2 linked regions of the Oryzias latipes genome follow. The protein of the gene in region 1 interacts with the protein of each later gene in a pairwise test. Links are inferred from orthologs where the notes say so. Each region holds a gene or a part of one and is shown on either strand. Other genes may lie near its edges. The genes, in order: ttc19 and telethonin.

The links.
Region 2: the proteins of ttc19 (region 1) and telethonin interact in binary tests that used the Homo sapiens proteins (3 or more experiments, as listed by UniProt). The link is inferred for Oryzias latipes from reciprocal best matches to the Homo sapiens genes TTC19 and TCAP.

The regions. Positions count from the first base shown.
Region 1 is NC_019875.2:10,841,642-10,846,232, reverse strand, and holds the start of ttc19 (tetratricopeptide repeat protein 19, mitochondrial), read left to right. Parts: upstream 1-1,477; 5' UTR 1,478-1,514; coding exon 1,515-1,588; intron 1,589-2,250; coding exon 2,251-2,396; intron 2,397-2,474; coding exon 2,475-2,566; intron 2,567-2,766; coding exon 2,767-2,877; intron 2,878-2,979; coding exon 2,980-3,018; intron 3,019-3,238; coding exon 3,239-3,295; intron 3,296-3,366; coding exon 3,367-3,428; intron 3,429-3,501; coding exon 3,502-3,596; intron 3,597-4,591. UniProt on the Homo sapiens protein: Required for the preservation of the structural and functional integrity of mitochondrial respiratory complex III by allowing the physiological turnover of the Rieske protein UQCRFS1.
Region 2 is NC_019866.2:5,747,946-5,751,435, forward strand, and holds telethonin, read right to left. Parts: upstream 2,134-3,490; 5' UTR 2,023-2,133; coding exon 1,874-2,022; intron 1,796-1,873; coding exon 1,405-1,795; 3' UTR 744-1,404; downstream 1-743. UniProt on the Homo sapiens protein: Muscle assembly regulating factor. Mediates the antiparallel assembly of titin (TTN) molecules at the sarcomeric Z-disk.

The sequences.
Region 1 (4,591 bases):
AGAAGAAAGAAGATGTTAATAAAGGAATCAGAGCAAGAATGGTTATTCTTCAAGTATGATGACTGAAGAATAGTTGTCTATTTCTCTATAAAAGTCGATGGGATTTTAGCGTCTTGGAAGTGACGGATACTTCCTGTTTGAATGCGACATTCGTCACTCAGTCCAGTTTTCATACAGTCAATGTGGGTGACACAAAATAGCTTGATCTTCAAACCTACCAGTAAAACCTAAGAATTTTTGCTTTCTGGAAGAAAATCTTGGTGAACCTCTATGTTTAAAACCAGCAGGACATTAGGGGTAGTGACAGTAATAGGAAGTGAGACCCAACAGTTAAACAATTGGTTTCTTCTAATAAAATATTTTCGTCAGCCTCTGCGGTTATGAGAGACCACATAAATGGAGAAGAAACAAACAAAGCTTAAAAAGAAAGCTTGTTATTGTTCCATCTGTGCTTCACTGGGTTGAAACCTGGTCTTAGTTCATCTGAAACATAAAGTCTGGACCTGTTCTTGAAGGGTTGAACGTTAGTCAAAGCTGATGTCCGAGGTCTGATGTTTGGCTCTACCTGCTCTCTGATGGATGTGTCTGTCTAGTTAAACAAGGAAAACAATTGTCAATATTGTAAATATGCATCTTGAAGAAAAGTAAAAATGAAACTTACAATAAAACCAAAACAAAGAACTGTCTTGATTTGCTGTCATTATTTTGTTTTATATGTCATGTTACAACATCATTATCAAATATATAAAAGAAATTCTTGAGTGAGTACTAAAAGTTGAAGTATGCTGAAACACTAAAGGAAATGAAAAGACTAAAATACTTTATATAATACATTTTTAAAAATAACTTTGAAATGACATAGAACACAAAAAAAGTGGAAGAAAACTGTAGTAAATTATTAAATATTGACTGCAAAAATGGACAAAATACCTGAAAAAAAGGTAAAATTCTCTAAATTCGACTAAATACACTATAGTGTTATTCCTATTTTCGTATTTTTTAACCTATACAAGGTTAAAAAAAACAAGAAAATTGTCTTAAAAGGGTTAAATAATGACAACAAACTAAAAAGTTCCTGGTACCAATTATTTTATCACTTACTCAAGACAAGTACCATACAAAAAATAAAAACAGGGAAAGGGCCTCTTATTTAATGAACAATTAATAGTTTATAATATGCATAGCTAAAACTTTCCTGAAGTTTTTATTTGTTTCTAAGGAGCATCAGTTTTTTCTCCAAAATATTTAAAAAAAAAAAAGAAAAGGAAAGAAAAGCAAACAACATATAGAAATCCTAATGGTTTTGAAACTAAAATAGAGATAGCTGAAAATGTGCAAAATTATAATTTATAGCCAGAAAGGACCCACAAGCGAATTCACTGTAAATACGGGTCGTGTCTCATTCGCCAAACGTTCAGTTGTATTGCTTCAAAATAAAATAATTTTCAGTACGTCTTTTATTATGAAGAAGTGCATCCTGAAGCGTCACTTCCGGTCTTGTGTAAACAGGCAAGATGGCAGCATACCGTGCGGTCCTGGCCGTCCTCCGCCGGACTCAGAGTGGGATTTTTGGTTCGGCGGGACTCAGGTGAGTTCGTGTCCTTTAACCCACCCTAACTGAGTGGAGAATTCCGTCAGTGGGAGCCGTCAGCCGCTCTCAGAGTCTGCTCGATAGCTGCGGCTTTCTCTGCCGCGCGCCTTAAACTTGAGGACGTGGTGCGTTCAGGTGTCCTCTGATTTGACAGCGTCAGCTCAAACAGGTTTTACCGGCATTTCTTTCACTATTATATCATTAAAAACACTCCCAGTTTAAATTAGATCAGGGGACAAATTAATAAGAATACATATTGTTGCTGTATTACACTGGATTAAGAGTGAGAAGAGGTGCATAAACCAGCTGATGATAATGATAACCAGATCCCTGAAGACTGTCATGTGACCAAAGCAAAACATAAAATCTGAAATGGGAAAAAAATCTGTATTAAAATGTAGATAAATAAACGTATTATTACCTCAGATCAGTTTGTACAGACACAATACATACAGATTACTACAGATATTACAACAGATCAGGCATGTTTCAAAGCTAAATATGGGTGCATGAATATCTGATGTCAGATGTTGATGACCATAATCATTCTAAAATTAGGCTTATGAGACAGATCTTTAATTCTGTCATCTACTGTTAATCAGACAATCAGGACAGCTCTGCCTGCTTTTGTCATGCATAGATATTTTTCTCTTCTCCAGGCGGCGCTCCATTGCTGTTCAGAGCTTCTCTGTGACATCACAACCTGAGGCAGGAGCCAGCTCCAGATGCTTGATAGCGCAGAGCAGACATGGACACTTCAGGAGAAACGTCCAGACAGGAGCAGGAGTTCTGTGGGCAGCAGTCGGTGAGTTCGGTCAGACTAAAGTCTCAAAAACTGCACGTGTATTTCTTCTTTGTGCTGACTGTGTGTGCACACGCACAGCCTTCTCCCTGTTCAGCAGCTCTGAGGAAAACAAACGGGATGAAGCTCAGAAGAAGGAGGATGAGATGATCTTGTTGTTGAAGAAAGCAAAGGTACCATAAGCCGGGCTGAAACAGAAGCAGGAACTCCTGCATGTTGCACGTGCACAGTGCACAGTGCACGGTGCAGAGACGGAGAGTCACCTGTAGAGGAACAGGTTTACGATGGAGCGGCTGTGGCATTGTTACAGTAATGTTGTAGTGTTTTGTTGCAGCGAAGTAAAGATATTTTTACTGTTTGTACTCGTACACAGCTCAGCATCCACCGTGGTCAGATGCAGGCCGCCTCCTCCTTTCTGCACCAGGCTGTCGCTCTGGCTCATCAGACCCACAACACACAGGCCATCATCTACACCTATAGCCAGGTGAGCTCTCACCTGTCCAGGCAGGAGCTGTCATGCAGCTTAACAATGCAGTCTACCACCACATTATTGGTTTACGTGACTCAGATTTGTTTTGCTTTTCAGATGGCCAATCTTGCCTACGTTCAGGGTCAGCTGGAGAATGTGAGTATTGGCTCATTGCAGCATAGTCACAACCGTTTGTGGAAGTGGTTAAACTGTAACATGTTTGTCATTTTTATCAGATACATTCCTTCACTTTATGTGAAGCTGGGTTTGTCTTTTAGGAGTAACTCTTATTCCTGCACATCATTATCTCTTTTTAGATATCCTGCAGCTCTCAGCTGTCAGCTGACATCTTCATCTGTGCTCCTCTTCCTCTCAGGCAGAGAAACTCTTCAAAGCCGCCATGAGCTTCATGCTGTCAGGAGGAACTCCAGAGGTGAGTCGTGCCGGCGCCTCATTTGTATTTGAACGGAACAGCTGCAGTCTCACAGCTGACTCTGCCTCCAGGACGACAACGCCGTCATCGAGATGTCTCTGAAACTGGCCACCATCTATGCTGAGAGGAACAAGTGAGAGGCGGGCCAACTGATTTATCTGGGTGGAAGTTCAGAGTTTTCTGACCTGAGTTTGTCGTTTTTTGAGGGCTGAGCTTGCTGAACATGGTTTCAAGTTCTGCACAGAATCTCTGGAGGCTAAACTGGAGAAACACAAAGAGCTTCCAGCAGAAAAGCAGACAGGTGAGATACTGACAGGTGACAATTCAGTGTTAGAAATAAGGGACAACCTGGCAAGTAAACTTGGTTGTCCTCCCCAATTTTTGGTTGTCCTTCGATACCAATATTCAACAGCAACGAAACCTACTCAGATGTCAGTACTTACATCTTTATTTCTTCTATACATCTAATATCAACTGCCTCTTATGATGGACATTTAAAAAACTCTTTAAATATTAAAAACAAACATTTGACTAAATATTGAAGCATCTGGTTACACAAAGTATTGCCAAAAAATTGAAAACAAAATCCTTTTGTGTGTTTTTGGAGACCTCTAGCGGTCGCACCAGGTATTGTTCAACACGTATTTGAAAACCGGTAATCTTTATTGAAAAGTACAGATGTAGAAACAAAGGATTCGCTTGCATGCATGCACTTCGTTTGTCAGTGGAAAGAATTTGCTGCATAGGTCTCAATTCAGAGTTTGCCAAATAATAACCATTGAAACTTGAAAAATAGTCGAAAAATACCAAAATGTTGAACAAAAGATCAGGTTGTCACATGGACAACCATCAGGTTCATTTGGTTGTCCTCCGTGAAATCTGGTTGTCTCGGACAACCGGATAACCGCTTATGTCAAACGCTGAAATTAGGTCAGGAAAGTTCTGGTAAGCCAGATTGTTTTTTAGCAAGTTCTGACCCAAGCCTTTTCAAAGGAAGAACAATATCGTTATTCAATTCAATTCAGACTAAACTAAACTAGATCCCCCTTCATTATCATGAGGTCTGTTTATTTTAGCAATAACCCACTACCTAAAAACAATGACTGCAATTTTACTCAAAAGACAACTTTGTCTCCAGTTTTTATTCAGGTGAAGCTGTGAGGTCTTTTTTTTGCCTCTTAGTCTGTTTTGGGGCATCACATATGATCACATCTCCCCTTTTTTAGCCTCACTACACTGGCTTCCTATTCATATTAGAATTCATTTTAAGATTCTTTTATTTGTTTTAAAATCCTT
Region 2 (3,490 bases), on another chromosome or scaffold:
CTAATTTTCAAAAAGAAGCTATAAATAAGTCGTGATAGTTTAAAAAACCCTAAAGAGATTGTTTGAATTTTGGACTTCAAAGCATTTTATTTGGATTTTATCTGTTGTAAATCATTAAAGTGTACTTTTTTTTTAAACTGAACTGTAAATCTTTGTTTTTTGGTCAACGTCATGGATTTTTTTGGTTTAATTTAGGGTTTTTCTGCGGTGGTTGGTTAATCTGCTGCATGTTTTCATTTTTTATTGTGACCTACGGTTGTCTATTTACAGATTTATTCTGGTTTCCCTGCTGGCAAACACTAAAACCATCAAACCATAAACTTGTACTTACATTTTAGAGAGGAATTCCTCTAGTTTAATAATCAGTATTAGTTTTCCTAAAATCCCTTCTCAGTCCACCTTAAACATCTTCTCTTTTAGTGTTGATGTTAGGTGACAGCATGTCTGACTGTTTGTGGAGGTCTCCGATCTGGTTGATCTCCCACTAGACTTGTGGTTTTCTTCCTGCATGGTTTTGTCATGCTTGCCTCATTTTTTCAGTTTGACCTTTTTGGAATTATTTGTAACATTCATAGAAGGCTGGACTGTTAAAATATAATGCAGTACAGTGAGACATCTTTGGATTCTGAGGGTCCGAGTCTGTGAAATGGACTTTATTAGTAACTGTTAAACTCAGTTCCTAATAAAGATCCTGAGTTTTGAACGTTGTGTTTAGGTTGCACTGTAAGGAAAAACAAATAAAATTTGTGGTTTTTCAACTTTTATTATGAAAAATAATAATTTCCTAACAAAAAATCAGCATCATTGCACCTTTGAAAATGATTTACACACTAATACAAGCAGCTAGTTTATCATCGGTTTCTTTGTGAGAAACAAATAAAAGCCGCCGCTAAACTAACAAGACAGATGAGATACGCCTCTATAAAAAAACAGGTTGTCATTTTTCCCAAATCCCTGCCTGGTGATGTCCTTTAGTGCACACACGGAAAAAACACTCGATCTGAAAGCAGCAATGTGTGTGTGATTGTGCCAGTGCATTCTGTTCCCTCGGCGAAGATCAGAAGCTGGCAGAAGCTCTGGAGTCCTGGAGAGGGACTAACATGGTTTATCACACCCCCTCTGACTCTCCTCCCTCTTTCCATCACTTTTTTGACCTGCGTGGTTCTTTCACTCATTATTTTCCATTACGATTCACAGACGTAAACTTTTAATCTAACAAAAAATTGTACTTTCAGTTGTCCTTTTGTGGTTAAACCCTCAAGTCCTGACAATCAACTTCCAACATCAAAATGTGCGACACTACAGACGGGTTTACGTTTCTTCTCAAAATTATCCCTGACTTTCTTCCATTCTTGAACTTGTCATTTTTCTCATCCCCCTCTTTCCCTCTTCTTCCTCACTCTTTCACCCTCTCTGGACCTCCTGGGACATGGAGCGACCCAGGACTTGAGGCGATTTGGCGAACTCCATGGTGGCTAGTTTGACAGGTGGGAGGTCCCTGGTGATCTCGTCCACGGTCCTCTTGCCAGGACAGAGCCCGTTTGGAACTGGGATAGGCACCAAGTCCTCCTCTGTGTGTGGGCCTCCACGCCCCAATCTGATGCCCAGCTCTGTGGGAACAAAAATGGGCAGGGGCAAAGTGTTTCTCTTTGGCAGCAGTTGGTGCTCCTTCACCCCTCTTTCCACAGTGCCCACCCTGACGACGCCAGAGGGGCAGGACTGGGTCAGACAGCGGGCCTGCCACTGCCGGGACAGAGTCTCCCGGCGGGAACTGTCGTTCATGTTCATGGTTTGTCTGTGGAATTCAAGAATTCCATAAAAATCTTCTTCATAGGACAACCAATTTGAGTTGAAGGGAGTTCAAATGTCTCACCTGTCCTGGGGCTGAGTCTTGAGGTAAACACTGACCCAGTCAGCAGCGTAGCTCTCCTTCTGTGCATTGTTCACCTCCCGCACGCTGCAGGTCAGCTGACCTCCCACCACCACACCGTTACTCTTCTCCAGCACACTGCAGATTGGCATCTTCTTTCCTTTGGAAGATCTCTCTCAGACTTACGATGTCCTGAAGATGTTGGCTTGTCTTAGTGATGCTTCAGGCTTCCTCTGTCTCTGCCTGGGATGTCTTTGCTTGGGTCTGCCTGTGGTTTATATAGACGCCCTGTTGCTATTTCTGATTCGTGTTGTCATTCTACAACCAGCGTGGACGACATCTGACACTCAGTCCAATGCGCCTCATTCCCGGACAGCTGGAAGCTCATCCGAGGAGGCTCTCTGGGGGTAATTGAGCGGAAAATCCCCTGATTCTCAGATTGTGCGCCCAGTCAACTTTTTAATCACCCTTACCACACTTTCCAGCTCCGTTAAAGTATCAGTAGACAGTGATTACATAAGCAGGGAGGCAGGGATGGGACAACAAGATTTGGGTTTTGACAGACACAAACAGCAGGTGAGACTTCAATCAATCCCTAATATAATACAAGTGCAGCGAATAAGTGATTCATGTCTGACTCGGAATACTGCAGTTTGTAATAACTGCTGCTGCTTATCAATTATGAAGAAGTACTAGCTGAGATTTTACGATGCTGCATGACAACATCAGTCATCAAAGGCCAGCGGATCTTCATCCTGATTCATGAACCTGGTGACAGAGCACTAATCAGCTCAGGTTACAGATCGAGAAGCGTCCACGTAGACTCCGACAGATCTCTGCCGTGGTGCCTCACTACCGGTCTTCGTCTGTGACTCATTCATCCTTACGGGGCACTTATTTCACCACAGGGCAGGTATCACTTATCGCACACGGCACAGAACATGACCCCCACAACAAGATGCTCCATCAGACAACAATAATAATACTTTGGATTCTGATGTTAGTTTTGTCTTCTGGTTAATCCACTGTGCGTTTGATCGTACTTTTTAGTTTCGACAACACCTTATGTTAACATGAACTTTTTTTGGATAGTGGAAAAAAACGAAATGTCACCACCTCAGACATGTTGTGAAACCATAGCAACCACGAATGTCATTTCAGAAGCCTCTTAAATCATTTTGAAAGTACCATCCCTGTTTTTCAGCAGTTGTAGACCTGAAACGAGAAAAAGTCATTTTCTTTTGCAAATTATGAGAGCAGAGTGGTTATTATTTAGAAAATTGTTACAAATGTGTGAGTGGTAAAAGTTTGTGAGCTTCAGTGACAGTCAGCGGATCTGTATCACCGTGACATCTGTGCGAGAAAATAACTAAACTTTTCCAGTAACTGCTGTTGGTGACGCAGGCAGAGACTTTTTATAGGAATGGCCAGAGAGATCCGAACACCAAAAATAAATGGAAAACAAAATAATAAATCAATGTTGCTTCTTCTGCAACAGAAGATTCTTATCGCTTTAACGCTACATGTTGTTTATTTGCAACGTACAATTTAAGCCAGGACTCTACCTGAATGGAAAAGACACTGAAGGATATTTTTTTAAATAATTGAGACCAAAATTTC